3 linked regions of the Anolis sagrei genome follow. The protein of the gene in region 3 interacts with the protein of the main gene of each other region in a pairwise test. Links are inferred from orthologs where the notes say so. Each region holds a gene or a part of one and is shown on either strand. Other genes may lie near its edges.

Evidence for each region.
Region 1: the proteins of KHDRBS2 (region 3) and DOCK2 interact in binary tests that used the Homo sapiens proteins (3 or more experiments, as listed by UniProt). The two-hybrid records come from large-scale screens. The link is inferred for Anolis sagrei from reciprocal best matches to the Homo sapiens genes KHDRBS2 and DOCK2.
Region 2: the proteins of KHDRBS2 (region 3) and NCOA5 interact in a two-hybrid assay, tested with the Homo sapiens proteins (2 studies listed by BioGRID). The two-hybrid records come from large-scale screens. The link is inferred for Anolis sagrei from reciprocal best matches to the Homo sapiens genes KHDRBS2 and NCOA5.

The regions. Positions count from the first base shown.
Region 1 is NC_090022.1:104,832,836-104,843,085, forward strand, and holds the start of DOCK2 (dedicator of cytokinesis protein 2), read right to left. Parts: upstream 5,192-10,250; 5' UTR 5,058-5,191; coding exon 5,018-5,057; intron 1-5,017. UniProt on the Homo sapiens protein: Involved in cytoskeletal rearrangements required for lymphocyte migration in response of chemokines. Activates RAC1 and RAC2, but not CDC42, by functioning as a guanine nucleotide exchange factor (GEF), which exchanges bound GDP for free GTP.
Region 2 is NC_090024.1:248,050,208-248,060,848, forward strand, and holds the start of NCOA5 (nuclear receptor coactivator 5), read left to right. Parts: upstream 1-6,296; 5' UTR 6,297-6,392; intron 6,393-10,641. UniProt on the Homo sapiens protein: Nuclear receptor coregulator that can have both coactivator and corepressor functions.
Region 3 is NC_090021.1:117,774,748-117,784,983, forward strand, and holds the start of KHDRBS2 (KH domain-containing, RNA-binding, signal transduction-associated protein 2), read left to right. Parts: upstream 1-5,255; 5' UTR 5,256-5,344; coding exon 5,345-5,435; intron 5,436-10,236. UniProt on the Homo sapiens protein: RNA-binding protein that plays a role in the regulation of alternative splicing and influences mRNA splice site selection and exon inclusion. Binds both poly(A) and poly(U) homopolymers. Phosphorylation by PTK6 inhibits its RNA-binding ability.

The sequences.
Region 1 (10,250 bases), on a different chromosome or scaffold from region 3:
TGAGAGATGTCTAAACTCCTATTCGTGTTAGGAGTCAGATCAAAAGTCAGGCCTCCCTTTTCAAAGCTGGAGTATTCTCAAAGACCTTGGAAGGAGATGCACACTCCTTCAGAGTTTCAGGCAATCTCTCCTGCAGACTGAATCTATTTCACATTGATTTTGGCATATAGAGAAACTAAAGAAACAGCTGTGAAAGAACGACATATTCTCTCCTTCAAGCACCATGATGGGTTGTACTTATTTGAAGAAAATAAAAGCCAAAGTTCAAAATATAATTGACGTTACTAGAATAACAGTATTTTTGTTTCTTGGTCTCTTTGAAAAATAATGTGAGTATGGCGACATCCAACCAACTGACAAAGGAAGTGGTTTACAGACTTGATGTTTTCTGAGTAAGTGGAAATTTACTTGGTTTCAAGTCTTTTAAAATTACTCAAGTTTTTGTATTTAGATAAAATGATAATTCTGGAAATGTGAGGGTAAACTCCCTTTATTTGTTTTATAAAAAACCTATTGCCTAATAATGTATCCCGTCAGCCCCATCAACTGAAAATTGCTATTTTGACCACATATGCTATAGCCCATGAAAGCTTATGACACAATAAATTTGTTAATCCAATCTCAAGAGCATATATATGTGCATGTGACCCATATATGAGAAGCTCTAGGGAGCAATATGCATCTCTGTATTTCACTTACTTTGGAAAAAAAGGAAAAGTGGAGGCTTAAGGTGTTTTGCAATATTCAGGTTTAATTTACAAGTACTGTACATAGCCTGAGCAAAGGGGGGGGGGGAGTTCTTTCAGCTTCTCTCTATCCTACATTAGATTTCTAGAGCTGCACCAACAGATAATGTTAGCTTATAGAGTCTTAAAAACCAGCTTCTCTTCCTCTTACTCACTTTCTCCGCCCCAGCGTAGGCCTAGATTCCACCATAGCTTTGAGGAACCTATTCACCCCCTAGTTGCTTTTTCCAATTTCAAACAACCAGAGTGAATGAATCTTCATGAATCTTAAATATCAACACTATCAATATTCATTTGCCAAGACATGACTAGAGTTTGGGCAAGTGTTGCCTTAAGGCACTGGTGAACAAAATGCAGTTCTCTGGATATTGGGCTGCAGCCCCTATCAGCCTTAGTTGGCACAATGGTGTGAAATGATGGGAGTTCATCTCCATCAATATCTGCAGAGACATACTTCAGGCTACCCTGGATTTATATAGTCCTATTTGCAGAAATTAGCAAAGTAAAGCAAAATAACTTTAAATATTCCTGCTTCAAAAGCAAATGTCCCTGCCTAGGCATTGGGACTTTTCTGCACAAAATGTACTGTTTTCAATCATACTAGTGAGTGTCTGAAGTTAAGGATGCACCAGGAGCTCCATATGTCTGAGGGGCAAGGAAATATTTACAGCAAAATTGTACTTTCTAGTGTTATCTATGGGAATATGCTGTCTTGGCAATACACTGAAGACAAACCAAACATATAGATTTTGTTTAAATGAGCTGTATACATTGTCAATGGCACTGATTTTATCTGTAAGCTTTGCTCTTTATCTAGATTCTGATGCTAGTTCAAATTAGGTCTACCTTACAACTTACTATTGATTGACTCCAGTGAAAAATGAGAAAAACTTAGCTCCTGATCTAAGAAACCCTAAGGAATCTCCTTAGACAAGATGGGTGGGTGGGTAGGTGGAGAGGATGTGGACATAGGGGTGCAGCTTTGATAAGGAAGCAAAATGAAGACTTTGCCCTCCAAATAGGAATTCTGCTCCCAATGCAATTTCCCTTGAATTTCTATAGAGGAAAATGCAGAAAGAATCAACTGAAATAATAGGCATTCACAGCATGATGAAAATGAAAAATTCATACTGCTGTTTCAAGGCCGGCCTAAATATATCAGCCACAGTTGTAGACTCACAACTTCCCTTTGCAATATTTATTTGTCCATGTTTTGCCTCATCATCATTTTTACAGGGGATGCGAACAAGAACAACTGAACAATTCAATCTCCACCAAAGTTTAAAAAATTCAAGTTGTAAAATTAATAGGACAATAAATCAACTTCTGGAGTATTTGGTGGACTGATCTAAACTATTATATGATTTTCTGTTCAGGACAACTACTTTTTAGATCAGGCTTTTAAAATCTCAGTAGTCATTAAAAACAAACATCTAACATTTAACAACTCATTTCTCTCTAACTGCATGATTTGAGAACTACAAAGGTGAAAGCAGAACAGATGGTCTGCATTATGAAATGTACATTTGCATGTCATAGGCAATGCCTCATTTTGTTCCCGCTTTACCATACAAAGCAACCTTATATTCACTTGAAAAGCCTGGGTGGGGAGCTCAACTATTAGAAAGAAATTGGATTTAGAGGATATCTTGGTGGTGTGGGATCTGCAAAAGCATGGCTCCTGCCTGCAGCTTACATCTGCGATAGCAGAACACACGGGAAGAGACCATATGATGACTTTTGCTGATGCCAACTTCAAAATGTAGGGAATTATACTGATACCAGTTTGAAAATGAGATACAATTTCACCTGTTTGTTGTTAGTGACCAAACAGCATGGCAAGACATACATAATAAAAGTACATCTTCCCCATATATGTGGGGAAAGGGGAAAGACTAATTGAAGCATTTAAAACAGAAAGGAAAAATTCTGGACCCAGACATTACACAGGCCCAACCTAGAGCACTGGTTCTCAACCTGTGGGTCTCCAGGTGTTTTAGCCTACAACTCCCAGAAATCTCAGGCAGTTTACAACCTATTAGGATTTCTGGGAGTTGGAGGCCAAAACATCTGGGGACACACACAGGTTGAGAACCACTGACCTGGAGCCTATGTAGTTAAGAATATGAATACTGATGTGTTTTAAGCTGCCTTGACTACAAGTTTATTTTTATTTTAAGCAACTGACAAAGACAGAAGCAAAGCATTCTAATCACAGTAGAATCAAAGAGCTGGGCATGTTTAGCCTGAAGAAGAGACGGCTGAGAGGAGACATGATAGCCATGTATACATATGTGAGAGGAAGTCATATGGAGGAGGGAGCAAGCTTCCTTTCTGCTGCCCTGGAGACTAGGATGAGGAACAATGGCTTCAAACTACATGAAAAGGGATTCCATCTGAACATTAGGAAGAACTTCCTGACTGTGAGAGCCGTTCAGCAGTGGAACTCTCTGTCCCAGTGTGGTGGGGGCTCCTTCTTTGGAAGCTTTTAAACAGAGGCTGGATGGCCATCTCTTGGGGGTGCTTTGAATGCAATTTTCCTGCTTCTTGGGGGTTTGACTGGATGGCCCATGGGGTCTCTTCCAGCTCTATGATTCCATGATTCTACAGTGAATTACTGTAATAAATAAATGTTTGCTGCACCTCACTGGGTTCTACTTGTGTAAACAGATTTTTGTTCATTTTTAAATCATACGCACATAAAAACACCAAGAATAAGTTGAAAATGTGCAGTCCAAAGGATGAATCTTTTTTGTTGTAAAGAAGGCTACATTGTTTTTTTTAAAAAGTGTTGTCAACATTCCTTAGTAACGATGTCAATTTTTCCTATCTTGAGTTGTCAACAGAAAATATGAAATAGTGAGAGAGAAACCTCTTTTGGGGAGCAATGAGCAATGAAAGAGAGAGTGAAGGAGGTCTTCAGCACAGAGGTCATCTACACAAGGACATTCCCTCTCAGGTATCTACAGGTCAGAACTGCTGATGGCATTGTCTGAAAACAAGTTTTTGTGAATATAAAGTTAGTGAGCCCAGTAGCTCTTTTCCATAATCAGTGATCTTTTCCATAACAAAATGAATATGTTGACCAGATTGGATTAAAATGCTATCTGTGAATTTGTTATGACTGAATACTTTAGTTTCTCTTTAGATGGTATAAATCTTTCACTTGAACATCTTCTCTGCTGCCATGGATTTCAAAGTGGAATAAAGTGGAGCTATTAAGAATCCCATGTTTCTAGAAAACGAGGGTAATGGACTTGACATGCCTTGAAGAACTCAAGAGATTTCTTCCCATTTGCACAAGAGAACTATTGTTTCAGCTCATTGCTTTTGCAATAGTAGCTAGCAAGCTTATTATGAGTTTTGAATTATTTTACAATATCGCCATATAATTTCTTTGAAACAGAAAAACATTTTGCTGCCAGCATTTCTTCCAGAAATCAAGTAGTTGTCTGACTCATTTCATGCAAAGGCAAACACATTGGAGCATGCATACTGTTCTGCCAGAAACATAGGAAGCTGCCTTACACCAAATCAAGCCATTATCCATTAAGCTCCATGTTAACTACCCTCATTGGCAGCAGCCTTCCAGGATTTTAGACAGCAGTCTTTGCAGGTCTTACATGGTAATACTGGAGACCAGATGTGGGATCTTCTGTTTCATTATGTAGATTAACATTTATGTTTACTGATTTAGTGCTTTCATACTTGGAAGTCCCCTTAACACAGAACAGTTTGTGCTTCCCTTTTAGTACCTGGAATCCCTAGTGGGTTAGTGGCTAAGCAATCTATATTGCTTCCTATGTACTTATTCTGGAGTAAAAAAAAGAACTCTTATGGCCTATCAATGTCTGCCTCTGAAAACATGTTTTCCCCTATTTCCTGTCTGTGCAAGAGCTTACAAGAAGACAAAATTACACAACTGAGTCAAAGCCTCAGAAGAACTTAGATGTTTAAACTTTCAACTGGGTTATCAAATGTTGAAGAAATGTTACTTTAAAATTAAATTTAATGTCAATCAGGTTATAATTTCCACCATGGGGTTCTGCCTTGAGACTCAGAAACCAGTACCAACTAAAGACACCTAGGAAGCAATTCATCCTTACAATCCTCTTCTAAGTGTATGCCCATAATGGGCCCATCAAAGCTGTGGCAAGCATCTCACTTGTTTTTCTGCATTGCTTTGCTGATCTAGCCACTTTATTTGCAGCACTTCTCCCCACACCCAGCAGAGGAAGAAAGACAAAAAGAGAAAGCTCTATCATACTTACCCACACCAACTTTCTTATCACTTTTGTGCCAAGGAGTCATTGCCCACAAATTCACCGTGGTTCAGTAGAAAGGCTGAATGGGAGCAGAGTCAGAATGCATAAAATCCAGCAGCATACGCATCTGGAGCCCAATGAATCAAAAGGCCACTTTAGCTACCGCTCCAGTAGCACTGATCTCTGCTCATCTCACAATCCCTCTACTTCCTTCCTCTTTCTCTAGCACTCGCCTTATTGTGCCTCTTTGATGCTAAAATGAAAGTGATCTTGCTATGTAGAGGAAGGGGTAATACTCGCTGGGTGTCTCACAAATAGGACAGGGAGAGTCACACATACATATAGGAACAAACATAAAGTGACTCCAAACTGATCAAATGAAACAGTTCAAATGTTTCATACAAGTGCAAAATCTTTACTTTTAAAAGTCCACATGTAGTCCATTCCTTGTCACTCAAACTCCATCTAGTTTTTCACCTTCTAGTGACTCCTTGTGTTAATTGCTTTTTGCTTTTAACATCCACTGCCTGTGATCTTCCCTGCATTCACTAACAGCCTTTTGCCATCAGTCTTGATCACCTGCTTTAAACATTAGAACATGTGCACGATGCCCCTTACAATTTGTGACTTATCCTTCAACCAATTATCCTTCAAGCCAACAGATTTGAGAAGTTATTTTGACTACATGCCAGAGTATGTTATTCATTATGGTACTAAACAGACTAGTATTCTTGTTTAATGTTTTCCTTTGCCAGATTCATGGCCACTTCCATTTCTTTCTTTCTTTTTGTTTAGTTGTATTTTATCTAAATTCTTACAGTACTCCAGTTTATACTCTCTAAACCATGCAACTTACATTACCATCTTTAAGGTAATGAAAAAGAAGGAAAGATGGGTTGAATCTCAGAACACTAAAATCTTAGTGGGAGCCCTTCCTCTTTAAAAAAAAAAAGAAAAGGGTAAATCCCTGAAAGCTGCAATGGTCCCAATCTAACCTAGATAAACATGTATTGTATGGAAAAGAGTTAGTGAAGATGGCATGCTATTTATATAATAAACGCTTCTATCAATATACAGTTCATTCAAGTGTATATAAGAGTTGGTGTTTCCCAGGGGAAGTTTAGGAAGAGTCTAGGGGAGAATTTTGCCTCAGTTGTTCCCTCACCACCCCCCCCCCCCACCACCACACACACACAGTTCTCACAAAGTTTGATGCAGTTCAATAGATTAATAGTCAACCAGGTTTCTTGTCTCTTTATTCTTATGGTGTCAGCAATTAATCAAATTGACTGCTGTCACATCATAATAGAGACATAAGAAACATGAAACATGGGTGGATAAGGACCACTTTGCCTGTTGCTGTTACCTGTTTTGTCGCCCATTGCACCATACTATGCTCACAGATCAGCACACAAAGCCTCTCTGCACAGAATATAAAATCTGGGGGGGGGGGGGGGGGGGACATGTACAGCCAACATTAACACTTAAATGTATATTACTTGTAAGCGAAAGATCTCCAATACCCAACACCTTAATTGTATACACTGTATTTATTACGCTAGTTATATATGGTTTATGTAATGTGGGTTATTTGTTTATCTGTTTTATTTGGGGTTATGGTGTTATGTTTTTTGTGTCATGTAATTTCTGTTGTTTTAACCATTGTTTGCCGCTTTGAGTCCCACCAATGGAAGAAAAGTCAAATAATAATAATAATAATAATAATAATGCTCATTCATGACAGGAGATCAAACTGCTATCCCAGCTCTCTACTGATTGATCTTGGAGGCATAAGCACGGCCTGCTGTTTGAGCAACAGAACAGCCCTTATTTATTTATTTATTTATTTATTTATTTATTTCGGGTACTTTTACCCTGCCCTTCTCAACCCCTGACTCAGGGCGGCTTACAAAAAAGGCATAATTCGATGCCTACATAGAATACATATACATATAAAACAGCAATCAACAATTATCACAGTTAAAACAGTCAGTATATAACACAATCAATAAAAATAAAACACAATCAATAAAAACTAATCTCAAGCTCAGCGTTTGTCTTTCAGAGTTCCATAATTCCATTCCACTTTGTCAATTCCTGTCCATCGTCGAAATCCTTCTTTATCTGCCTGATTGTCCGAATGCCTGGTCCCAAATCCATGTTTTCAGTTTTTTCCTGAAGGAAAGGAGGGATGTCGCTGTTCTAATTTCCCCGGGGAGTGAATTCCACCGGTGAGGGGCCACCACCGAGAAGGCCCTGCTCCTCGTCCCGCCAATCTCACTTGTGAAAGAGGCGGGGTCGAGAGCAGGGCCTCCCCAGAAGACCTTAGACTTCGAGGTGGGATGTAGAGGGAGATCCGTTCGGACAGATATTAGAAGTGTCATTCCAAAATGAAACCACTGGCTCAGAAGACCCCAGAGACCTTTGAAATACTTACAAGGATTACTGGGCATAAAAACAGCAAAACCTGCAGGATCTCAATTAGGAACCACACAGAGGCCCTCAAAGGTCTAATCAGGGCCTACGGAGCCCAACAAACCTAACTAGGGCCTGCAGAGGCCTACTTGGGATTTTTGATAACTGGAGGCCTAAATGTGTCCTACTGGATCAATAAGGAGCTGGCAAGGACAGCGCAGGCGCGAAGTCTAAATGGCATTGTAAAACTTTTGGAAGCCAGGGAGATACCTTAAGGCACATCAACTGTTGTAAAAAGACCTAAACGGGGCAGAGATCTGCCACAAGCTAGTAGTGGGGATAAGCTACTCTACTATCCCAAGATCCACCACAAAGTTGTTCCTGCGAGTACCCATTAACACATTGCAGGGCCATCATTAGCCAGAATGAGCTGTAGCAGGCCAAAAGGAAGGAGCTTCATTAATGAACTCTCCAGTTGCAGTAGGTGACAAACCAATAGGTGGTGGGGTTCGTAATTGGTAGGCGGTTGCCTGTTAGTCTTCTGTGAGCACCGAGCGAGGAACATGCATGCTTGTGTTACCACCGTGTAGGCACCTCCTAGTCAAGGCCAGTTTTGCGAGGCTGTCTCTACTTCTTCCCTCATTCATCTCCACTTCCCTGTCTATTCTGATTTGAACTGAAATATATGACAGATAAACCAGTTCAAAACGGGTAATTGTGGGATTTCTTATCTTGATATTCTGGGTTATATGGCTATGTGGAAGGGCCCTGAATCCACACTGCCATATAATCCAGTTCAATGTGGATTTTATACAGCTGTGTAGAAGGGGCCTGGGACACACATGCACGTCCCACAATTAATCACTGGGGGCTCTTCCACACATATTTGTATCTCACCCTTCTCACTCTAAAAAAGAGGACTCGGGGAGGCCTTACAGCAGGCAGCGATTCAATGACAATACATATAAATATAGAAATGAACAAACACAATTAAAACCATCCAATTAAATGTTAGTTATTAAAACATCAATTAAAATCATGTAATCCAGATCATAGTCCAAAGCCTGTCCAATTGTCAATTCCATTAGTCTGTTATCCTTATTGCACTATTTACTGGTTGAATGCTTGGTCCCCTCAGCCACATCTTAAGCTTCTTCCTGAAAGATAGGAGGGAGGGAGGTGACCTGATGAAGGGACATTATTATTATTATTATGTCTCTTATGCAGGAGGGGCACCATTGTGTCCCTAGTGCAGGGGTGCAGGAATAGCAATGTACCACTAGGGGGGACTGGCAAGCCATACCTCCGGGGAACATAGCAGATTCCAGTCCCCTGACGTTTATGCTTCACACCTTTCTGGCAAGGGGATGCAGGGGGCATCATGACCTGGGACTGATAGTGGGCTGCAGGCTACCTCACCTTAGGATGAGCTCACCTCTAGCCAATCACTCTGCCAATGATGTAATCCAACCCACTGTCACCAGGCAAGCTTTGCAAAGAGCACAAGAAAGATATATAAACAGCTTGGCTGATCAATAAACTTTGAGGTCACTTCTTCACCCCCCTTGACTGTCTGGTGGTTTTCTTCATGCGTCTCCAACAACCTGATCCACATTGAACTGGATTATATGGCAGTGTGGGCTCAGGACTCCTACATACAGCCATATAAACCAGAATATCAAGCTAAAAAATCCCACAATATCTGTTTTTAACTGGGTTATTAAGAGACCACACTGCCATATATTCCAGCTCAAAGCAGATAATGTGGGATTTAATTCAGCTGTGTGGAAGGGGTCTTAGTATCATTAGGTGTCTCCACTGAAACTTTATCACCAATCCTTGTTTACACAAGCCAATTTTGTTTAAAAAAACCCAAAATCGCTAGGAGTTGGAAAGGAATCTTATGGGGTCAGATTCAGTGGGGAAAGAGGAAATTCCTAAAGGAGCAACTTTAAAAATAAAGCAAATCTAGCACTTTTTACTTGGGCTGGGTGGGCTGAAGTGTGAGAAATTATGGAAAATATGATTGAATCTTATTCTTTTGAGGAGTTTTGGCATAACCCCCCCCCCCCCATTTTTATACTAAAATTCGAGGAATCACCTTGAGCTATCCGCTGCTCTTCTCAGCAACTTATTTATGTGAACAAGGGTTTTCAGTTTTGCTGGTAATTAAAAACAAGTCTAGGAATTGATTGAAAGTGATGCTATGCATGTAGCTTTGAGCAATATTAGCCCCAGGATTACCCAACTTGTAAAGAAGATGCAAGCTCAAAAATCACATTGATGCAAACCGAATTTAATTTTCTATTTTAAATGTTTTTATATTATAACTAGCTGTGCCCTGCCACGCGTTGCTGTGGCCTATAGTAAGAATTTTCGAGGTAGAGGTAGATATCTGGAATATTATGAAAGAGAGGTACCTACCTATTCCTTCCCTCTTTTTCTTTCCCTTCCCCTTTGTCTCCTTTCTTCCTTCCCTATCTTTTTCTTTCATTCCTTCTTTCGCTCTTTGGTTTCATCCTTCCTTCTCTCTTTCCTTCCTTCACCCCCCCCCCCTTTCTCTACTTCTTCATCTCCTTTCTTCCTTCTTTCTCCTTTCCTTCCTTCTTTCACTTTTTTATTTCCTTTTCTCCTTCCTTCTTTACTTCTTTCCTGCATTTACCTCCATTTTTCTTTCCTTTCTACTTTCTCTTCCTTCCTTCAGTACCTCTTGCTTTCCTTCCTTCCCTCCTTCCTTCTTTCCCCCCCTTTCTTTTTCCTTCCTTCCCCCTTTCCTTCCGCCCTTTCTTCTCTCCTTCCATGTGTTCTTCCCCAATACCATGGT
Region 2 (10,641 bases), on a different chromosome or scaffold from region 3:
GGGACAAAGGCAGGTCTTGCTGGTGTCTCTGTCCGGGCAGCCATTGCAGGGAGGCTGAGGGGGTGGGGCCAAAGGAGGTGGCGTCATGACCCCTTGGAAACAGCCAATCGACCCTTCTGGGGGTCGTGACCCCCGGGTTGAGAACCACTGTTCTAGAACATGGCCATACAGTCTGAGAAACCTACAACAACCCAGTTTTAATGCAAAGCGCATGCGTGTTGTGTTCTTCTACTGGTGAGCCCGAGCACGGCAGGGAGCCCCGCCTTCACATTGGTGTGAGCTGCAGCGGAGAGTTCCGCAGTTCCTGGACCAAGTTTTGGGGACCAACAGATGAAATGTGCCCCAGCAGCCAGCTCAAAACCAGGAATGCCTGCAGCTTTCTTTTGCTTTCCCCTTCTCCTTACATTGTATCATTTCCCTAATAAAGCACTTGAAACTTGCAACATTTAATCTTTCCGCTTGATACTTTTGTATCTTTTCCTGCCTCAGACTAATTCAACATTAAAATAACCCTTTTTCCAGGCTCTGAAGAGCCGTGAGCCTGCTGGGGGGCGCCCACTGCCCCCCCCTGGACCCTGGATCTGCGTTCGGAAGAATCGCGGATACGGAAACCGCCATTTTGGACCCCAGTACCCACTAAAACAGTAAAATGGCGGATTGACGCCGTTCAAATTTTGTATTTTTCTGCTCTTAATTCTAAGACTAACTGCCATCATGTTTTCCTCATTTTGGACTCCTGCGCTCGGGGAATAATCATTTTGTTTAAAGTATTTTACTTTGACAGAAATCAGCTGTTTGTCAATTTGGCCGGGTTCTTCCAAGACAGCCCGTTTCTCCTCAGCGCTGCTCGCTCCCTGCCTGGATCCAGCAACCGGGGACCCACTGCGGCCACCCGCAGGAGACCCCGGGAAGGCAGCCAGGCACGGGTCCCGGTCTCTGACCTGGGAGACATAGTTTTCCAAAGGACAGACAAGGACACTGCCCCACCATTGCAACCCGGAAATCCTCCTTGGACTCTTTTTGCCCTCTCCTATTGACTTTCTGCTCCACGTCCCGGACTGTTTTCTGCCATATCTTTGGACACAAACCTTCAGATCAGGCTTGCCCTGAAGAGCAAGCAGCCTCCGTTTCCGTGTGCCTTCACCAGGAGACCATGAATTTATTTCAAATAATAGAAAAACGAGCTGTTTTAATAAACTTTGCTGGGGATGGGGATGGGATTGCCTTATGAAATATATGAAATGTATGTAATGAAATATCATATAGAATGTGCTGTGTTTCCCCTTCCCGCCTTTCCCTTTGACCCTTGCCCCATAAAGATGTGACCTGGGGATTACTGTCTTGAAGAGGAACTCCTTTGTCCTCCCAAAACTCTTCCCGATTGTTTCATTTGCATGGACCATACTGTTGTTTCCCCCCAACCCTGGCCCTCAGAGCAGACCAGCGAGGGGAGGGGGTCAGCAGGAACTCGGAAACAAAGACTGATTTAATCAACCAGGTATTGTTGATCCCCCTTTGAGGTCCGATACCGAAAAAGCCTTTTCATATTTCTTCCCAAATCCCATCAACAGACCAGGAAACTCATTGTTCCTCTATCTGACACCCCGCCAAGTGAGGACAAAGCCACACATTCCAGCTGGCGGATGCCCCTAAGCTGATCATTTCCTCAGCCATTGTTGGCTTCGTCCCGCCTCCTAGCTGCCGATTGGTCCATCTTCAGAGGCGCTAGGAAGGCACTGATTGGCCTCCCAGAGGCAGCGGAGCCCGCTGATTGGTCCGGAGGCGAGGCGTGCTGCCAAGCCTCCTCCCAGCTGTTCCGTGGCCAGCCAATCAGCACGAAGCCGGCTGACAGAGGGTGGGCGGGAGTTTTGAAACTGTTTTCCTTTGTCTGTGTACTATAAAAATGCTTGAAAATTATGCTTGCAGTGGAATGATTCCTGCAATGCATCTTATCTCAGCTGAATCACAAATAAACCTCGGTTGCTGAAAAACTTCTTCCACTTGGATGAGGCATTATTATTTGTAATATTTTTTACTCTTTGGATTGGCTCTCGCTAGCCTCACCAAAGGTCCAGGGCCCTTTTGAGCGGTCCTCAGGGATCTCCTCCGCCGGGAGACCCTACAAAAAGCAGCTCGATATCACTGGCACCTGGTTCTGACAAGGCCAGACCGTAGTGCCCTGTTCTCCACTTTTAAAGTAAGATCCTTCTGTCTTCAAGTTGGAGGGATTTTCTGAGATAACAAAGGACCGCAACTGCCAGCTGGGATGCGAGCAATTGTGTGGTGTCAGTGGGTGGGAAGCAGAGGAGCAACCACTCCTGAGGAGGAAACAGCAGGGATGATGGTCAGTGGGGCCTCTTGACCTCCACAATCTGGCCCGTTCTGCCATGCTCTGGTCTGGTCTGGTCTCTAGGCCTTGAGGGACCTGGAGGGTCAGAGGAAGGAAGCTGGCCCAGAGCGTGCATGTATGAGAAGCGAGATCCAGATTGGATTACTGCAATGCGCTCTACGTGGGGCTGCCCTTGAAGACGGCTCAGAAGCTCCAACTGGTCCAATGATCGGCAGCCAGGATGCTAATGGGGGCCCCTTACAGAGAGAGGTCAACCCTCCTGTTTAAGGAACTCCACTGGCTGCCGTTCATATTCCGAGCCCAATTCAAGGTGCAGGTGCTTACCTACAAAGCCCTGAACGGTTTGGGACCAGCCTACCTGCGTGACCGCATCTCCATCTACGAACCCACGCGTTCTCTTCGGTCATCTGGAGAGGCCCTGCTCGTGATCCCACCTGCGTCGCAAGCGCGTTTGGTGGGGACGCGGGGCAGGGCCTTTTCCGTAGTGGCCCCCCAACTCTGGAACACCCTCCCCAAAGACCTTAGACAGGCCCCCTCATTGGCTATCTTCAGAAAGAACTTAAAAACTTGGCTTTTCCGATGCGCCTTCCCAGATTAGGAAATCTCCACTACCGAGTCCTACAAGCACTTTACCAGAACTGATTGATGCACATTGCACATCGCACTTGCCCTAGAAGCCCTTTATACACCTCCTGTCACATCAGCACTTTTAACGCTTGTACCCACCTTTTGGCCCGGCCCAGTTTTACTGTGTTTTAATGTATTTTGCTTGTTGTTTATTTTTGCTTTGTTTTACTTGCTTGATTTGCGTGTTTATATTGTTATGTTGTATTGTTGCGGCCTCGGCCTGTTGTAAGCCGCATCGAATCCTCCGGGAGATGCTAGTGGGGTACAAATAAAGTTTAATTATAATAAATAATAATCTAGAATGAGATCAGAGGTGCCTTCAAGGGGATTCCCAGGGAATCATAGAATCCAAGAGTTGGAAGAGACCTCATGGGCCATCCAGTCCAACCCCATTCTGCCAAGAAGCAGGAATATTGCATTCAAATCACCCCTGACAGATGGCCATCCAGCCTCTGCTTAAAAGCTTCCAAAGAAGGAGCCTCCACCACACTCCCTCTGGGGCAGAGAGTTCCACTGCTGAACGGCTCTCCCAGTCAGGAAGTTCTTCCTCATGTTCAGGTGGAATCTCCTCTCTTGTAGTTTGAAGCCATTGTTCCATTGCGTCCTAGTCTCCAAGGAAGCAGAAAAGAAGCTTGCTCCCTCCTCCCTGTGGCTTCCTCTCACATATTTATACATGGCCCTCATCATATCTCCTCTCAGCCTTCTTTTCCTCAGGCTAAACATGCCCAGCTCCTTAAGCCGCTCCTCATAGGGCTTGTTCTCCAGATCCTTGATCATTTGAGTCTCCCTCCTCTGGACACATTCCAGCTTAGAGTCAATATCTCTCTTGAAGTGTGGTGCCCAGAATTGGACACAATATTCCAGATGTGGTCTAACCAAAGCAGAATAGAGCATGGAGAGCATTACTTCCTTAGATCTAGACACTATCCTCCTATTGATGCAGTTGGACTACTCACCTTGCCCAGGGGGAGCGGGCGTCACGGCAGAGGAGGCCAGGAGAGCGAGGAGGATGATGATGATGAAGCCGGTTGAGGACTTCATGGTGAGGCAAGACCAGTGAAGCTCCAGCTCTGCCACCTCCTGCCTTTATATCCCCTTCCAAGAGAAACTGGGCAACCGAACTCCTGGCGCTCAGCAGGGAACAAAGCACAAAGCCTGCCTTGTGAAGTGACCTTTGTGGCTGGAAACACGGATGAGCCAACCAACGGATGCCAACAGGATCCACGGGGAATGACACAAGGAAGAAGGCTTCCCATCCAAGAACTGGAGAAGGGCAAGGCCCGCAGGTCATGCCAGGGCAGTTCCAGAGGGAATTCTAGGGTTTAGTAGGCATTGACCTTGAGTGTGGGAGTTGTAGTTCCCCTACATCCAGAGAAGACTATGGACTCAAACAATGATGGATCTAGACCAAAACTTGGCATGAATATCCCATATGCCCAAATATGAACATAGATTGAGTTTGGGAGAAATAGACCTTGACATTTGGGAGTTGTAGCTACTGGGATTTATAGTTCACCTATAATCAAAGGGTGTTCTGGACTCCACCAACGACAGAATTGGGCCGAACTTCCCACACAGAACCCCCATGACCAACAGAAAATACTTAAGGCCATTCAGTCCAACTCCCTTCACCAGGGCAAGAAAACATAATCAAAGCCCTCCTGACAAAGACCCATCCAGCCATAGATAAATAGATAGATAGATAGATAGATAGCTTGCAGTGTTTGGGGAAAGGGAGCAAGATTGAGACATCAACCAGCTGCAACTCATGGTGAGCAGGGGACTTTCCACTGGAAGGAAGGAGGCACCTTTGGGAGAATTATCTGAATTATCATTGGTTCATGTAGGAACCAATGATACTGCTAGGCATACTTTTTGAAAGATCACAAATGATTTTCGAGCTCTCGGAACAAAGCTAAAACAATGTAATGTACAGGTGGTCTTTTCATCCCTCCTCCCAGTCGTAAAACACGGTCCTACAAGGGCCAGAAAAATAGTACAGGTCAATGACTGGCTTAGAAAATGGTGTCAATAATAATAATAATAATAATAATAATAATAAAGCGAAGGCTGGATGGCCATCTGGCAGGGGTGCTTTGATGGTGCTTTTCCTGCAGGAAGGCAGAAGGGGGTTGGACTAGATGGCCTTTAGTGGTCCCTCCCAATTCTTATTATCTATCTATAATAATAAAGAGTAGTAGCAATAATAATACTGATAATAATAATAGTAATAAAGCGGAGGCTGGATGGCCATCTGGCAGGGGTGCTTTGGTTGTGCTTTTCCTGCAGGAAGGCAGAAGGGGGTTGGACTAGATGGCCTTTAGAGGTCCCTCCCAACTCTTATTATCTATCCATAGTAATAAAGAGTAGTACCAATAATAATAATAATACTAAAGCGGAGGCTGGATGGCCATCTGCCAGGGGTTCTTTGATTGTACTTTTCCTGCAGGAAGGTAGAAGGGGGTTGGACTAGATGGCCTTTAGAGGTCTCCCCCAACTCTTATTATCTATCTATAATAATAAAGAGTAGTACCAATAATAATAATAATAATAATAATAATAATAATGTAATAAAGCGGAGGCTGGATGGCCATCTGGCAGGGGTGCTTTGATTGTGCTTTTCCTGCAGGAAGGCAGAAGGGGGTTGGACTAGATGGCCTTTAGAGGTCCCTCCCAACTCTTATTATCTATCTATAATAATAAAGAGTAGTAGCAATAATAATAATATTAATAATAATAATAATAATAATGATAATAATAATAATAATAATAATAACGCAGAGGCTGGATGGCCATCTGCCAGGGGTGCTTTGATTGTGCTTTTCCTGCAGGAAGGCAGAAGGGGGTTGGACTAGATGGCCTTTGGAGGTCCCTCCCAACTCTTATTATCTATCTATAATAATAAAGAGTAGTAGCAATAATAATAGTAATAATACTAAAGCGGAGGCTGGATGGCCATCTGGCAGGGGTTCTTTGATTGTACTTTTCCTGCAGGAAGGTAGAAGGGGGTTGGACTAGATGGCCTTTAGAGGTCTCCCCCAACTCTTATTATCTATCTATAATAATAAAGAGTAGTACCAATAATAATAATAATAATAGTAATAATACTAAAGCGGAGGCTGGATGGCCATCTGGCAGGGGTGCTTTGATTATGCTTTTCCTGCAGGAAGTCAGAAGGGGGTTGAACTAGATGGCATCCCGCTAGCCACGCCCCCGACTGGTGATTGGCCGGAGCTTGCAGAGGCCGGAATTCCGATTGGAGAAGCGGCGGAGCCACGCCCCTCCGCGAGCAGCCAATCACCGCTCGGCGTGGGCGCCTGCGCTTTGAGACAGAACGAGAGCGAGCGAAGCCGTGGTTTCCGTTGGGCGCCCTTTTGTCTTCGTCGCTGGTGAGAGACCCGCGCAGGCCTCCTCGGTGAGTGCAGGGCCGCGGAGGGGAAAGCGGGAGGCCGGGGCAAAGGGGCTTTCCCCGTCGGTTACTTGGCCGGGCCGGGCGAATTCTCTTTCTGAGGCGAGAGTGCGCGCGCAACTCCTCCTACCCCTCCCCCACACACGCCGAGCTGTGCGCATGCGCGAGAGCGGACGGCCATGTTGCGCATGCGCGTCGGCGGCGGAGCGGCAAGGGCTGGGCTCGGTTCCTTTCTGCGCCTGCGCAGTGGTTGGCGCGACAAGGAAGGCACCCGCGTCCCCTCCTGATGACGCACTTCCCTATATCTATCTATATATAAATGCTCTGTGCATAATGAGTGCCTTAAAAACAAAAGAACCAATGAACGAAATCACACCAAATTTGGCAACAAAACGTCTCACTACACAAGGAGTGACCATCACTCAAAACATTATGAGTTTATCATTTGGGAGTTGTAGTTGCTGGGATTTATAGTTCACCCACAATCAAAGAGCATTCTGAACTCCACCAATGACAGAATTGGGGCAAACTTCCCACACAGAACCCCCATGAGCAACAGAAAATACTGAAAGGATTTAGTGGGCATTGACCTTGAGTTTGGGAGTTGTAGTTCACCTATATCCAGAGAGCACTGTGGACTCAAACAATGATGGATCTGGACATGAATACTCAACGCACCCAAATATGAACACAGATGGAGTTTGGGGGAAATAGACCCTGACATTTGGGAGTTGTAGTTACTGAGATTCACAGTTCACCTACAATCAAAGAGCATTCAGAACCCCACGAATGACAGAATCGGGGCAGACTTCCCACACAGAACCCTTATGACGATCAGAAAATACTTAAGGCCACCCAATCCAACTCCCTTCATCGGGGCAAGAAAACGTAATCAAAGCCCTCCTGACAAAGAGCCATCCAGCCATAGATATAGATAGAAATATATGATTCACAGACACACACATATATGTATGTGACAGATGCAGTATCATAGATTTCAAAGGGACCTCTAAAGAAGTACAATTATATGTTGCATGTTCCAGAGTAGGCAAACCAGACACTCTCCACATCAACACTGACAAAGAAACAGCAAGAAATACTGTTTACCCACAAGCAGAAAGAAATTACATATATTGGAAACAAACACTTTCACATTATTTTATTTCCCAGATCAACAGACTGGGCCACAGCAACGCCTGGCAGGGGACAGCTAGTAAACACTATTATGTCAAAATTTGAAAAATGTTCTGTCCCTGGTTTGAAAGTGTGATTTCCTGTTTCATGGTGCGGACCTTGCTTTGAAAATAGTTGCTCTACTCCAGGAACTTGGTTGATTTTGTGGCTGCCACAAACTGGGTTGAAGTAAATTCAGACTCTAATAATAATAATAATAATAATCAGACCTCTGAGGATGCTTGCCATAGATGCAGGCGAAACGTCAGGAGAAATGCCTCTAGAACATGGCCATATAGCCCGAAAAAACCCACAAGAACTGAATAATAATAATAGTTTTGTTGTTCATTCGTTCAGTCATCTCCGACTCTTCGTGACCTCATGGACCAGGAAATAGTGACATTTATCACCCAGGAACAAAAATCACAGTGTCACACCGTGTAATCTATTACAATTATAATTATATAAAAACATAATATATTTATGTAATATATTTATTGTATAATAATATAGTAATGATAAGTAATATATTGTATATACAATGAGGAGAGATGGGTAAGGAATAAAATTATTGTTAGCTACTACAACAAACTACAAAACTAAAACAGACAAAACACACCTATTATTAATCTTATTATGTTTATTAATACCCCGCTTTCTCGCTACAAAAGAGACTCAAAGCAGCTTACAATAAAACTAAATGCAATACAATTTAAAACATAAAAATATAAAAACATTGAAATAGTATTAAATATTAATTGTGCTAAAAATAGTCAAAATCCTTAAAAAATGAATAAAAACATGTTCAAAGCTAAAACCCATAGCACTCCCTGGCTTGTTTAAAAGCCTGCCTGAATAAAAAGATTTTATTCAGGTAGACTTGCACAAACTCCGCTAACAAACAGACAGCCAAGGAAATAATTTTATAAAACTCCTCCTCACAATCTGATTATTTTTATCCCTTATTATTCTATTCCCTATGCCATGTTTTAACTTTGAGGTTTTTCTATACATTGTAACTGTATTCTCAATTTGCTTTTGACAAGTTAAATAAAAATAAATTTCTCTTTAGATGCTAATATATAATTACATTTCTACTTCTGGTAGAAATTCATTAATCCTATAGTTGGCATTTCCTCCCATCATTATTATGAAAATGAGCAAGTCCCAATATTTGAGCAAAAAATTCTCCATAATCAGCATAGTCGGACTCTCCATTTTGGGGATATCACAGATATTTATCCACCATTTGTCTTGTGTTGGGAAAGCGGGTTCCTTCACCTGAGGATTTGCTTCAAAGAGAACATTGTCCACCAACAGGATCCTGTTGAAGGTTGTTTATATTGCTTTACATGTTCATATTTACAATTGTTTTTAGCTATATTTTATTTTAGTCAGATTGGTCATTATTACATCTTGGAGTGGTGATATTACAATTATATTAAACTGGTTGCCAGTTACGTTTCTGAACAAAGTACAGAGAACTCTTGATTCTTACCTTTGAAGACCTGCATGGTCTGAGCCCAGTATCCCCTCCTCCCATATAATCCACCTCAGGGAGATGGTTACTCCACTCAGCTGGATGCACTGCCTGAATTTAAAATAGCAAGAAAGATTGTCTCTTCCAACAGATGGTATTTAAAGGATGAATTTAGATAATGAATTTAAACTATGGATCAATTGTTTGCCTATATATTGATCTTGCACGCTCTTATGTTCATGTTATCCATATTTTTAACTGGTGGTATGTAAGGTAGTTTAATGCAGTGTTATTCCCCACGTTATCTGTGTAGACAGGCAGTTAAGAAATAGCAGTAGTAGTAATACACATCCATACATGCACCTATGATGTGACCTACTTTGAATTCCTTTTTCCAGAGAAGCTGATGAGGCAGGTTGGCTGACCTTGATGCTGATAGTGGTGCTGCCCATAAAGGGGGGGGGGGGCATGGTAGGACTGGGTAAGATGCTACGAGCGTTGCATTCGTTCATAACAAATGATTTTTTGGTTCCAACAAAGCAGGGACCCTCAATGCAGAGGCAGAAGGCTCCACCCTCTATGAGCATGCCAAGGGCAAAAGTTCCATCCTTTTCTGGGCCAAGTCCTAAGGCACATCTGAACCTCTTTTTTTTTTGCAGAATTATTTATTTATTATTATTATTAACAACATTTGTTTACCGCTTTTCTCACCCCTGGGGGGGGACTCAAAGCGGTTTAAAACATAATAAATGGCAAATTCACATTTATATTAAAATATCACATATCTAAATCAATAACATAACTGCAGATAAAAAACTAAACTATAAAAACATCAAACATAGACATAAGCATGAAACATATTATTGCTGCAATTAGTAATGTAGGCCCTGTCCCTTCCTCTCCCCCCCCCCCCCCCAAGGAGATATGGTCAGCATAGCCTCAAAATGGCTTCACTGGGATTATGCCTGGTGACCCAGGATCCCTTCCCATATTTTCAAGGGCCAGCTCTCTTCCCAAGCTTAGCCTTGAAAGAGTTTGGAGAGAGATAAGCTCATATTCTTCTCTGATAGTTCCTTGGTCTCACTCCTCCACTGTGGAGGTGGGATTTAGCAAAGACTGGGTGCCACAGAGAGTAGCCTTTTCCAGAGAGTGCTGTTAGGCAGGAGGCAGAAAGGTCTAGGGCTGTGGTTTGGATAGATAAACTGGAAATGGAAGCCACTGATATTGTAGCAGATTAAAGGCGGTTGGATTTTAAATTTGCTGTTCAGCTGTTTTGAAAGAGAAATTATATTTTGTTTGACTTTGTATGCTTTGGAAAACTTGGATCAATACATGCTATAAATAAATGATATCAAGGTTTGTGTTGTCATGCAGGAAACACTAAAACATGGTTGTAGAGCAGTGGTTCTCAACCTGGGGTCCCCAGATGTTTTTGGCCTACAACTCCCAGAAATCCTTGCCAGTTTACCAGCTGTTAGGATTTCTGGGAATTGAAGACCAAAAACATCTGGGGACCCCAGGTTGAGAACCACTGTTGTAGAGAGTAAAATCCCAGTGGTGTCTGTGCAGCAGAATTCTTGCACCCTGAGCCTCCCTTAATGT
Region 3 (10,236 bases):
TCCTGGGTATCACTGAGGTAGTATTCTTTCCTAGGCTGTTTTCTATCTGTAAAGCCAGTAGGATAGGTAATAATTTATTCAGAGGATGTATGGATCCAAGGAAATGGAATTATAAATCACTGTATATGCTGAAAAGATAGACATAAATGTTAGTGTTGCTTCTCAAAGAAATATTAGGGGAAATGTAATAGTTGAGCCAATGTAAAAGAAAATACCACAAGTGTTTAGAAATAGAGCACAATATTTTTTGCAATGGCAAACATGTGTGAATGCACACACACATGAACACATCCAGACACTTATATATAGTTTTAATTAAACTAAAATGAGTTTGTTTACTTCTGCTGTAGACAGTTTAATTACATGATAGCTTTAATTCTGTGATTTGAGGATGCAGATGCTTTCTAAAGCCACTGCTTCGAATGAAGCTGATGCAAGACTTTCTGAGCCAAAACAAAATCTACCACATCTTTTCCTTAATGTCCTATATATATGGAATGTTGAATTCTGAGATATTTATCACAAATTGAACACAAAGAAACTGGGGTCTTGAAGATACAATAGCATTAGCCATAACACATGGCGATTGGATGATGCTGTCAAAGAAAGGAAGCATTATTTGCTTAGTCCTTGCTTGTTTGATGCCTGTTACAAATGTATGGATCATAGGGAAGGGATCTATCAAATACTGCTTCAGTAATACATCTAATGGGGTCCACTGAACAGCAGATAAACTCATCTCCTGGTCTGTTCACTTTTATATAGGTTTTCCTGTCTTGTGTGTGCTTTCCAACAGAGCCACAGTATATTTGCTCCATAATTATGAGGCTATTATGTTCATATTAATATAAAAATGATTGGAGCAGATTCTTTCATCTAGTTCAGTGGTTTCCAACATATTGACTGTGGACCACCAGTAGTCTGCAAGAACTAAAATATGGTCCGTGGTATGGGCGAGCAAATGGTGACTACTGGATGGCATATGTTCTGTATCAGAAACTAGAGCTGATGTGGTCTATTCAATGCAATTTTCTGAATCAACACCCCAAATAACCAAACTGAATCTAAAGTTGACCAAAAACGGATTCATAACCATTTTGGTAATGTTGGAGAGTAGTCCCTGGTCAAAGTGGTCTCTGGCCAAATGGTCCCTGATTAAAAAAAAGGTTGGGAACCACTGATCTAGTTGGATGAAGAGATGGAGTGTGTCAGGGCTACAGATTTGCATCTGCCATGGATGTTACCATAGAACAGTGAATGGCCTACCTAGCTGTCCCCCATTAAAAAGAAAACAGAATCAACCTGGAATAATTCACCTATTGGCCATTTACTGGATGTGTTGCTGGATAAAATACATTCAGTTGAAGCTGGTGTCATAATGTAGTTATTTTAATCTTTTGAATATTGTTATTTTGATCTTTTGATCCAAAAATGGTTCTTAAGGCATTGAACGCCAGCCTTCAATACTTGTGAAGTTGAATGAGTAATATTCCAATGTAGTTTAGTGTAAGAATTGTCAATATCCCTTCAAAGAGACTCAGTGCAGTCTAAATATAATGTTTACTTTAAAGCTTCCTCTCAGGTTTTCGAGAGGTCTAAATCCATTACCATAGTGACTGAGAAGTAGGCAAGAATGTCAAGAGAATAATTTTTCTAGTATGTCAACATTTTTTACAGCTTAAGCCTGTAAAAGAAAATCCAGAATTTATCAGATATGTGCCTATGGGCTATTTTCAGTCAGGAATTGCTGTGGGTGATGTCATGGTTGAAGTGTTCATGGGTGGGCATCCACAGAAGCTTTATAGATTGATACCTTTTTTTCCTGAAAACAATTGAATAGATTTTCTTTTTGGGACTGGTGGATTTGTATGGCCATTTTGAAATGTTGAATAATTTCCCATTCTGTAGAAATTGGTGTAATATGATGTAATAGCAATTAATAGTTGTTTCTGATTCCCTCCCTTCACACACTGCCACAGAGAGAGACTATTGCTTTAAAGTGAAAAGGTTTCCTTATTCGTTTCAGCAGAGGGAAGCCTTCCAGGTTGATTGCCTTCATAAAGTCTGTCTGGACTAAGTAGTCAGACTAGGTATGTGAACGGCAAAGGGTGCATCTACACTGTAGTATGAATGCAGTTTGACTCCACTTTAACAGTCATGCCTCAATGTTGTGGAACTGCAGTGTATAGTTTGCTGAGGCATCAGCATTCTTTGGCAGAGAAGGCAAAAGACCATGTAAAACCACAATGCCCATGATTACATAGCGTTGATATCAAACTGCATCAATTCCACAGTGTAGAGCAGGGGTCCTCAAACTAAGGCCCGAGGGCCAGATACAGACCTCCAAGGTCATTTACCCGGCCCTCGCTCAGGGTCAACCTAAGTCTGAAATGACTTGAAAGCACACAACAACAACAACAACAACAATCCTATCTCATCAGCCAAAAGCAGACCCACACTTCCCACTGAAATACTAATAAGTTTATATTTGTTAAAATTGTTCTTCATTTTAATTATTGTATTGTTTTTAAGCCTTTTTTGCACTACAAATAAGATATGTGCAGTTTACATAGGAATTCATTCATGTTATTTTCAAAATTCAGTCCTCCTCCCCCCAATAGTTTGAGGAACTGTGACCTGGCCCTCTGTTTAAAAAGTTTGAGGACCCCTGGTGTAGAGTAACCCAAAGTGAGTCTGCTGCTTAATGAAAGCACCAGGGTGTATGTTCACCATAGAAATAATGGAGTTTGACAGCACTATTATCTGTCATGGACCAATGCTGTGGAATCAGTGGAGTTGTAGTTTTACAAGGTATTTAAGGTTCTTTGGCTGGTGCCTCACCAAATTATGACTTCCAGGATGGCATGGCCTTGAGTCTTAGTGGTTCAAGTGGTGTCAAACTTCCTTAATCAAACATTGTGCATCAGGCATGGGCAAACTTGGGTCCTCCAGATGTTTTGGTCTTCAACTCCCACAATTCCTAACAGCCTAACCTAAGCTGTTAGGAAGAAACCTAGGTTTCTTCTCCTAAAGGAAGGAACCATAAAATAAACAAAATCTGGCTACCAGTATTTAAAAAAACCACTAAAATTATAACAGCAAATAAAGAACAACACTCAAACACGGGGGAACTCCAGACAAGAAACTATCAGGAACAACTAATCACCTCTCGTCAAAAGATTTCCCCAGGCAGTAACAAGCCACACCTAAAAACTGCCAGGCCATTTAATGCTAAGGAAGATGGCCAATAGCAACATTCACACTTGCCTCAAACAGACAAGAGTTCTTTTTCCCACCCTGGACATTCCACAGACATATACATCCAATTTTCCTAGTTCTGAAAGACCTTAAAACTTCTGAGGATGGCTGCCATAGATGCAGGCAAAATGTCAGGAGATAATACTTCTAGAACAGTGTTTCTCAACATGGCGGTTGAGACCCCTGTGGGGTCATGAGGGGTGTCAGAGGGGTCACCAAGACTATCAGAAAACACAGTCATGGGTGTTCTGTGTGGGAAGTTTGGCCCAATTCTATCATTGGTAGGGTTCAGAATGCTCTTTGATTGTAGGTAAACTATAAATCCCAGCAACTACAACTCCCAAATGACAAGGTCTATTTTCCTTAAACTCCACCAGTGTTACATTTGGGCATATTGACTATTTGTGCCAAGTTTGGTCCACATCCATCATTGTTTGAGTCCACAGTGCTCTCTGGATGTAGATGAACTATAACTAACTACAAAACTCAAGGTCAATGCCCACCAAGCTCTTCCGGTATTTTTTGTTGGTCATGGGAGTTTTGTGTGCCAAGTTTGCTTCAATTCCATCATTGGTGGAGTTCAGAACGCTCTTTGATGGGAAGTTTGACTATCAATCCCAGCAACTACAACTCCCAAATGACAAAAATCAATCCCCCTCAACCCCACCAGTATTTAAATTTGGGCATATGGTGTATTTGTGCCAAATTTGGTCCAGTGAATGAAAATACATCCTGCATACAGTATCAGATATATACACCACAATTCATAACAGTAGCAAAATTACAGTTACAAAGAGGCAACGAAAATACTTTTATGGTTTGGGGTCACCACAATATGAGGAATTCTATTAAGGGGTTGTGGCATTAGGAAGGTTGAGAACCACTGTTCTAGAACATGGCCATAGAGCCCAAAAAACCTACAACAACCCAACCTACTGGCTGTTAGGAACTATGGGAGCCAGGCCCGTAGCCAGGATTTCGTTTCGGGGGGGGGGGGGCTGATTTTTTTTCAGGGGGGGGGTTCGGGGGGGCTGAGTTTCGGGGGGGGGCTGAGTCTGAGTGAAAGAGGGTCTAGCCTAGCAAATCTTTTGTATCATTACCCCAATACCCCATGCATATGGGATATATTGAGTAGGGTGATCAGATCATGATATGAATAAACATAACAGTTTAAATAATGCACCAATAAGGCCTTTTCGCGAACCACCATGAGAATTTCGGGGGGGGGGGGGCTGAAGCCCCCCGAGCCGCCCCCCCCCCCCGGCTACATGCCTGATGGGAGCTGAAGTTCAAAACACTTGGAGGGCCGAAGTTTGCCCATACTTGGTGTAGATACATCTTTGGTCACTCTTTGAGATGAATCTGTCAGTGCATCCTTACACGAAAGAGGGATGGAGGGCTGGTGCCTGTGAAATAGAAGTCATAGGAGTGGAAGATGCAATGTCCCTTGGAAGGTGACAACTTTCTCCATGAATCTTCAGGGGCGGGCCCGGGGTATGGATTCTTGGAGGAAATCAACAGCCCTGGACAGAAGTAAAATATGCAGCGTCTGGGCTTGACTCGTTTTTCCTAAGGAGGGGAATCAAAGAGAGAGAAATCCAAAGCCGCAGCCCTTCCAAAGCCCTCAGACGCCCTTCGCTCCGCTTCAGCACCTTGGACAGCGAGCGGCGCGCTAAGTCCCTCCCTGATCCCCTTCCCGGCTTTTTTTTTTTTCCGCCCTTGCCTTTCACTTAAGGCGACGGGGTCGCGAGCCAATGGGAAGCCGCCGCTGCGCTTCACGCCCCGCCTTTCCAGCCCCCGCTGCCCAATGGGAAGGGCGGAGCGGTGGGTGGAACGCTCCTTCTCGCCCACCTCTCTAGTTAAGGCTCCTGCTCGGCGGCGCCTGTGGCTCAGTTAGAGAGGCGCGAGGCAGAGAAGCCGAGGCAGGCATCCCGGGGCGCGCGCGTGTGTCTGGCGGGAGGGGGGCGCGCGCTGTCCAGGGTCCTGCAGCCAAGGGAGGCTTGCTCCAAGTCCGAGGGAAGGCAAGGAGCTCCCCGCGCACCACCTTTCGGGCAGGCAGCCGATCCCAAGTGCTGCCCGGTCTACTATGGAAGAGGAGAAATACCTACCCGAGCTGATGGCCGAGAAAGATAGCCTGGATTCGTCCTTTGTTCACGCGATGCGCCTTTTGGCAGAAGGTAGGAGGACTTTGAGGGGGCTCCTCTCCTCTGGCTGCCTTTCTGAGCCAAGGAGAAGCGGTGGCTGTTGCTGCTGAGGATTGAAATGTTGCATAGGCACTCAGATCCTACATAGGGACTGAGATCTTGCATAGGGACTCAGCTCTTACATAGGGACTGAAATCTTTCCTAGGGAAGCATTGGGACTGAGATCTTGTGCGAGGCCTCGGACTAAAGGAAGGGGGTTTGAAAAGGGGGAGAGAAAGGCGAAGATAGTCTTTCCCTTCCCCGTTGAGGAAGAGCCAAGGAGCTCTGTTGTTCTGGTCTGAGATCTACATAGAGACAGAGGCTGCTGAGACCAATGAGTCTGGTGGGAGGATTCGCCTTAGAGAAAGTGAAGGAGGAAAGCAACTGAGGGTGTAGCATTAATGCAGTTCCACACCACTTTGCCTGCCATGGTTCAAAGGGGATTGAAGTTTCACAAGGTCTTTAGCTTTCTCTACCAAATAGTGCTGGTGCCTCGCTAAAATACAGCTGTTATGATTCCATAGCCATGGCAGTGAAAGTGGTGCCAAACTGCATTATTTCCACAGTGTAGATGCACTCCTCCATCACCCCAGTGTCCATAACCTTCATCCAACTGTACTATAGAAGTATAGAGTTTGTGTCAATGGCCCCTATGTCCCTACTATTGCTTCCAGAGGAAGAGATACTGATAGGTTTCAATGGCAACACCCTATACTCAAGAGGATGATTTGTGTCCTCATAGACTCACCTCTCCATCAATCCAGTTTGCAAACAAATCAGCAACAATTTGGCATTTTGTGAAAGAGATCCAACTCAGCCATCTTTTTCTTTCTTTTTTCTAAGATGTACATTATTTTAGAAAGATTTTTTTCCAGATCATAAAAGTTTTATATATATATATACTTGAGAAAGAAAATGGAATGGCAGTAGTAATCCAAACAAGGATTGTTTCTATTTTTGAGAGCTACATTTCAAGCAACTCTTCCTGCCCAGTGTTATGACTAGTTAAATCGTAGCAAATACCCTTCGCTTATTAAAAAACACTCAAGACTTTTACCATCATGGACAATCATTTCCATGGGAATTATTTGTTTTCATAGGAAGCTTTTATTTCTTTTCGTGCTCCCTTTTTTTTTTTTAGTAAGAACTGCTCTGTTATCAGGTGTACTACTTTTGTAGTGGAAAAAGCTTTTGGACTCCAATTTTTATTTACAGAAAGACAGATGCAAAGTGTTTCATTAAAGCTGTTCCATCTTGGGCTGTTGTGTTAAATGTCCATATTATATGGGAAGAGCTAAATCCATCACAATGCCTGTGATTCGTGTCATTCCAGTTCATTTCAGTCTACTCTTGTTCTGGATTTGTTAAGTTTGTCAACTGCCAGGTTTACCCCATTTTGCTAGAATATCAAACTCTTGTAGTCATGTCAGGACTAATTAATTGTTGAAGAACTCACGAGCAAGTTACCAGAACTTTCCAAGTTGTGCCTTTGAATAACTGTATCTGAGTGTTGTTGAAGGCTTTCATGGCCTGAATCACTGGGTTGCTGTGAGTTTTCCAGGCTGTATAGCCATGTTATGCTTCTGGAACATGGCCATACAGCCCAGAAAACTCACAGCAACTGAGACTGTATTTGAGTTGAGAAGCACAGAAAATCACCACCAAAAGTATTCTCCCTGATTTCATCCATTGTCCATGTTATTAATATCTGTCTGTAAAATATAGTTAAATTGTTTAGTTTGATAGTATTGCTTTCCCTTTCAATTATAATATGATACTGGATCTTCATCCCATGTTATTGTTAGACTTGGAAGGGTTTGTAATGAAATGAAGTCAAATGCAAATAATTTGATAGAGATCTAACAGTGTCTGTATATGGAAATAAGATGTCAATATTCCAAAGAATCTGAATAATTATCTTAAAAACATGTAAGCAGGCATCAAACATACTTTATTTTAAAAGTCTTCAGGCTCTCATTTTAAAAGGGGATGCCAGATTTGTAAATGAGAGCTTTCCCATCATATACTCTTTTTTAAAGTATAGATTCCCCGCCAGAAATATGATTTGTGTGTGTAATTTGAAATTTTCCCAGCAGGGGGAACTATCTGCTGAGACACAGTAAAATCAGAAGAAAAGTGAAGGGTAGAGGACTTTGGGGAGGAATAAAATGGGGGGGGGGGGAATACAAAACTCTGTGGTTATTTTAAAACCTTTTAATAAAAGTGAGCCCATGCAGATGTATTTACATCTACCTTTCCCATTCAAGCTAAAATTCAGCTGCAAATGATGCACATATTTTAATAAATGTGCTACTCCCCGACCCCCCTCAAGTGTAGCTGTAGGTTAGGATATGTGGATATTAAACACAGACTAAGGTGAGTTGCTTAAGAAAGCAAGAGAGAGTACTAATGTGGGATTCACACCAGCTACCTTGCATTATCCTTCAAAACACCATCTGTCAAGGTTTCTGGAACTGTGTTTCAGATTTATGCAAAAATATAAAATGTCTGAAAGGCAAACTTTCAATAAAATGAGCACACCTAGAGCTGTGAAAACTATAGGCAGAGTGATGCATTTTATGTTGAAAGATTACCATGATGCTATCACCATTTATTTGAATGTCAGCAAAAAAGAAGACTATAGAGCAATTATATTGTATTAGCCTTTAAAATGGCATCTCTTACAATAATATAATATTAGTATGGACTGTTTGCCATTTTTGGATTCAAGGAGAGGTCCTTGATAACTTACAAAGCCTTCTTACTGCAACATATGACAATTAAGTGTACAAGCAAAGTCTTGTTTTACAATGCCTGGCATTTTTCACTTCACTTTTTAATCCTTAGCAGTTGAAGTTAGGCAGACCTATGCAGCATCCTTAGAGGAAATATATGTGAAACAGAAACAGAAGACAGTTGTTTTTTTTTTAGATCTATAAAGTCCTCTTTTTTTCTAGGGCTGCTAAGACCAAGAACTTATTCTTATCCACTGTGTGCAATTTGTTTTTCTCCTCTAAAACCTTAGTTTCAGTGAAGAAAGAGACATTTTTTTCAAAAATCAATAAACTTTTGGGTCATTCAGGTATGTTAATGCCACCACTGCTCCCCAAAATTGTACAGTAATAGTTTGAAGATTCACTCTCTCAAACTGAGATAATTATTGAGTTTTTGTTTATTTCCTAAATTTCTTCCAACTAACTTTCTTGGGAACCAGTCCCACATGACCATGTATTGGATCGGGCAGTAATGCTAAATAAGTAGGAGGAAGCAGATTGGAGGAACAGATTTAATTGTCTGTAACAAAAGGTTACAGTGCTGATTCTTGCTAAAATCAAGTGCACCTTGATGTATTAATACTGCATTTGCGTGGAATTAAGTCTTATGAAAATTAATGGTCTACGTTATAATGTGATGACACATATCTGTATGTGTTTATATCTGAGACACAGTTTTCATTGGTTCATTTGAATCTTCCACTGATTTCAAAGGGAGAAACCTGCACCTAAATTGGGTTGGTTCTCAGGCAGAGTTTAATGCTCTGAAAACAAGAGCACATTGTCTAGAGCCAGTTCTATCAGCCTTAGAAATAACACCTTTAAATATTTAATATCGTAGATGAGCAGAAGTAGCCTATAAAACTCCACATCATACCAAACAACTTCTCCATACTAATCACGTTGCATTATGCGGCCACCTGTTATAGCAGGCAGAATAATTACTGGTCTTTTTAAGTTCATTGTTAACTGAATTAATCGTACAATATTTTGCAGTTAACCTTTCTAGCTGGCAGGTAAAAGATCATAGTACATCATTCAACCGTGTAGCTTTCAATGACTGTAAGGACGTTTAAGTACTCAGCAATAAGGATATTTAAACAGCTTCTTTTATGTGCCATATTTTATTATTATCGCAGCACTTTAGGCTACTGTACAGATTCCACATGCTCTTGTGATAGGCATCATAAAGGCAAATTTGATGTCATGTTTTAGAGAATATGAATAAACAAAAGTGAGTGGGAAGCAGTCTGAGAATATAAATGGAACATTAATTGGTTGCATTCATGACCTAGGAAATACTACCTGAAGCCCCATGCTATTGTTTGAAGATGCTTTGTTGTTGTTGTTGTTGTTGTTGTTGTTGTTGTTGTTGTTGTGTAATTAAATGTATCTAGAGAACAACAGCCACTTACAAAGTTATATGTACTGGAGAGGAAAAAGATACTTTAGTCACTTCATGGTCACTTTAGAATACTAAATCTATTGCTGAATTCTGAATCCAATATGTTACTCCTTTGGAAGAGATAACTCTGGAGTGTTAAAGTTCAGATATGTCTTCTCAATAATCAACATCAATCTGTTTTTGGGAAGAGAAGTAGAAAACACTCTTGCAATTCATAGGGCTCATGAAGCACAGTTTAGTAATCCTCCTGTGCAAATAAGTTGATGGAGACTTTAGATCTTCCAAACTCTGAAATATCAAAGGCAATTGATATTTTCCCAAAGACATTAGACTAGCACCCACGTTGGCAGTCTTTAGGAAGAACTTGAAGACTTGGTTATTCCGATGTGCCTTCCCAGAATAGGATAATCTCCAGCACTCTGTCCCAGAAGCACTTTATTAGAGTTTAATACTCTCTGCACATTGCACTTGCCCAGAACTCCAACATACCACCTCACACACCCAGCACTTTTTAACCTGTACCCATCATTGGCCCGGCCCTGATTTTATTGTGTAATAGTGTAATGTTTTGTTGTGTTATTGCTTATGTTTTTAATTTGCTGCATTGTTATTGTTT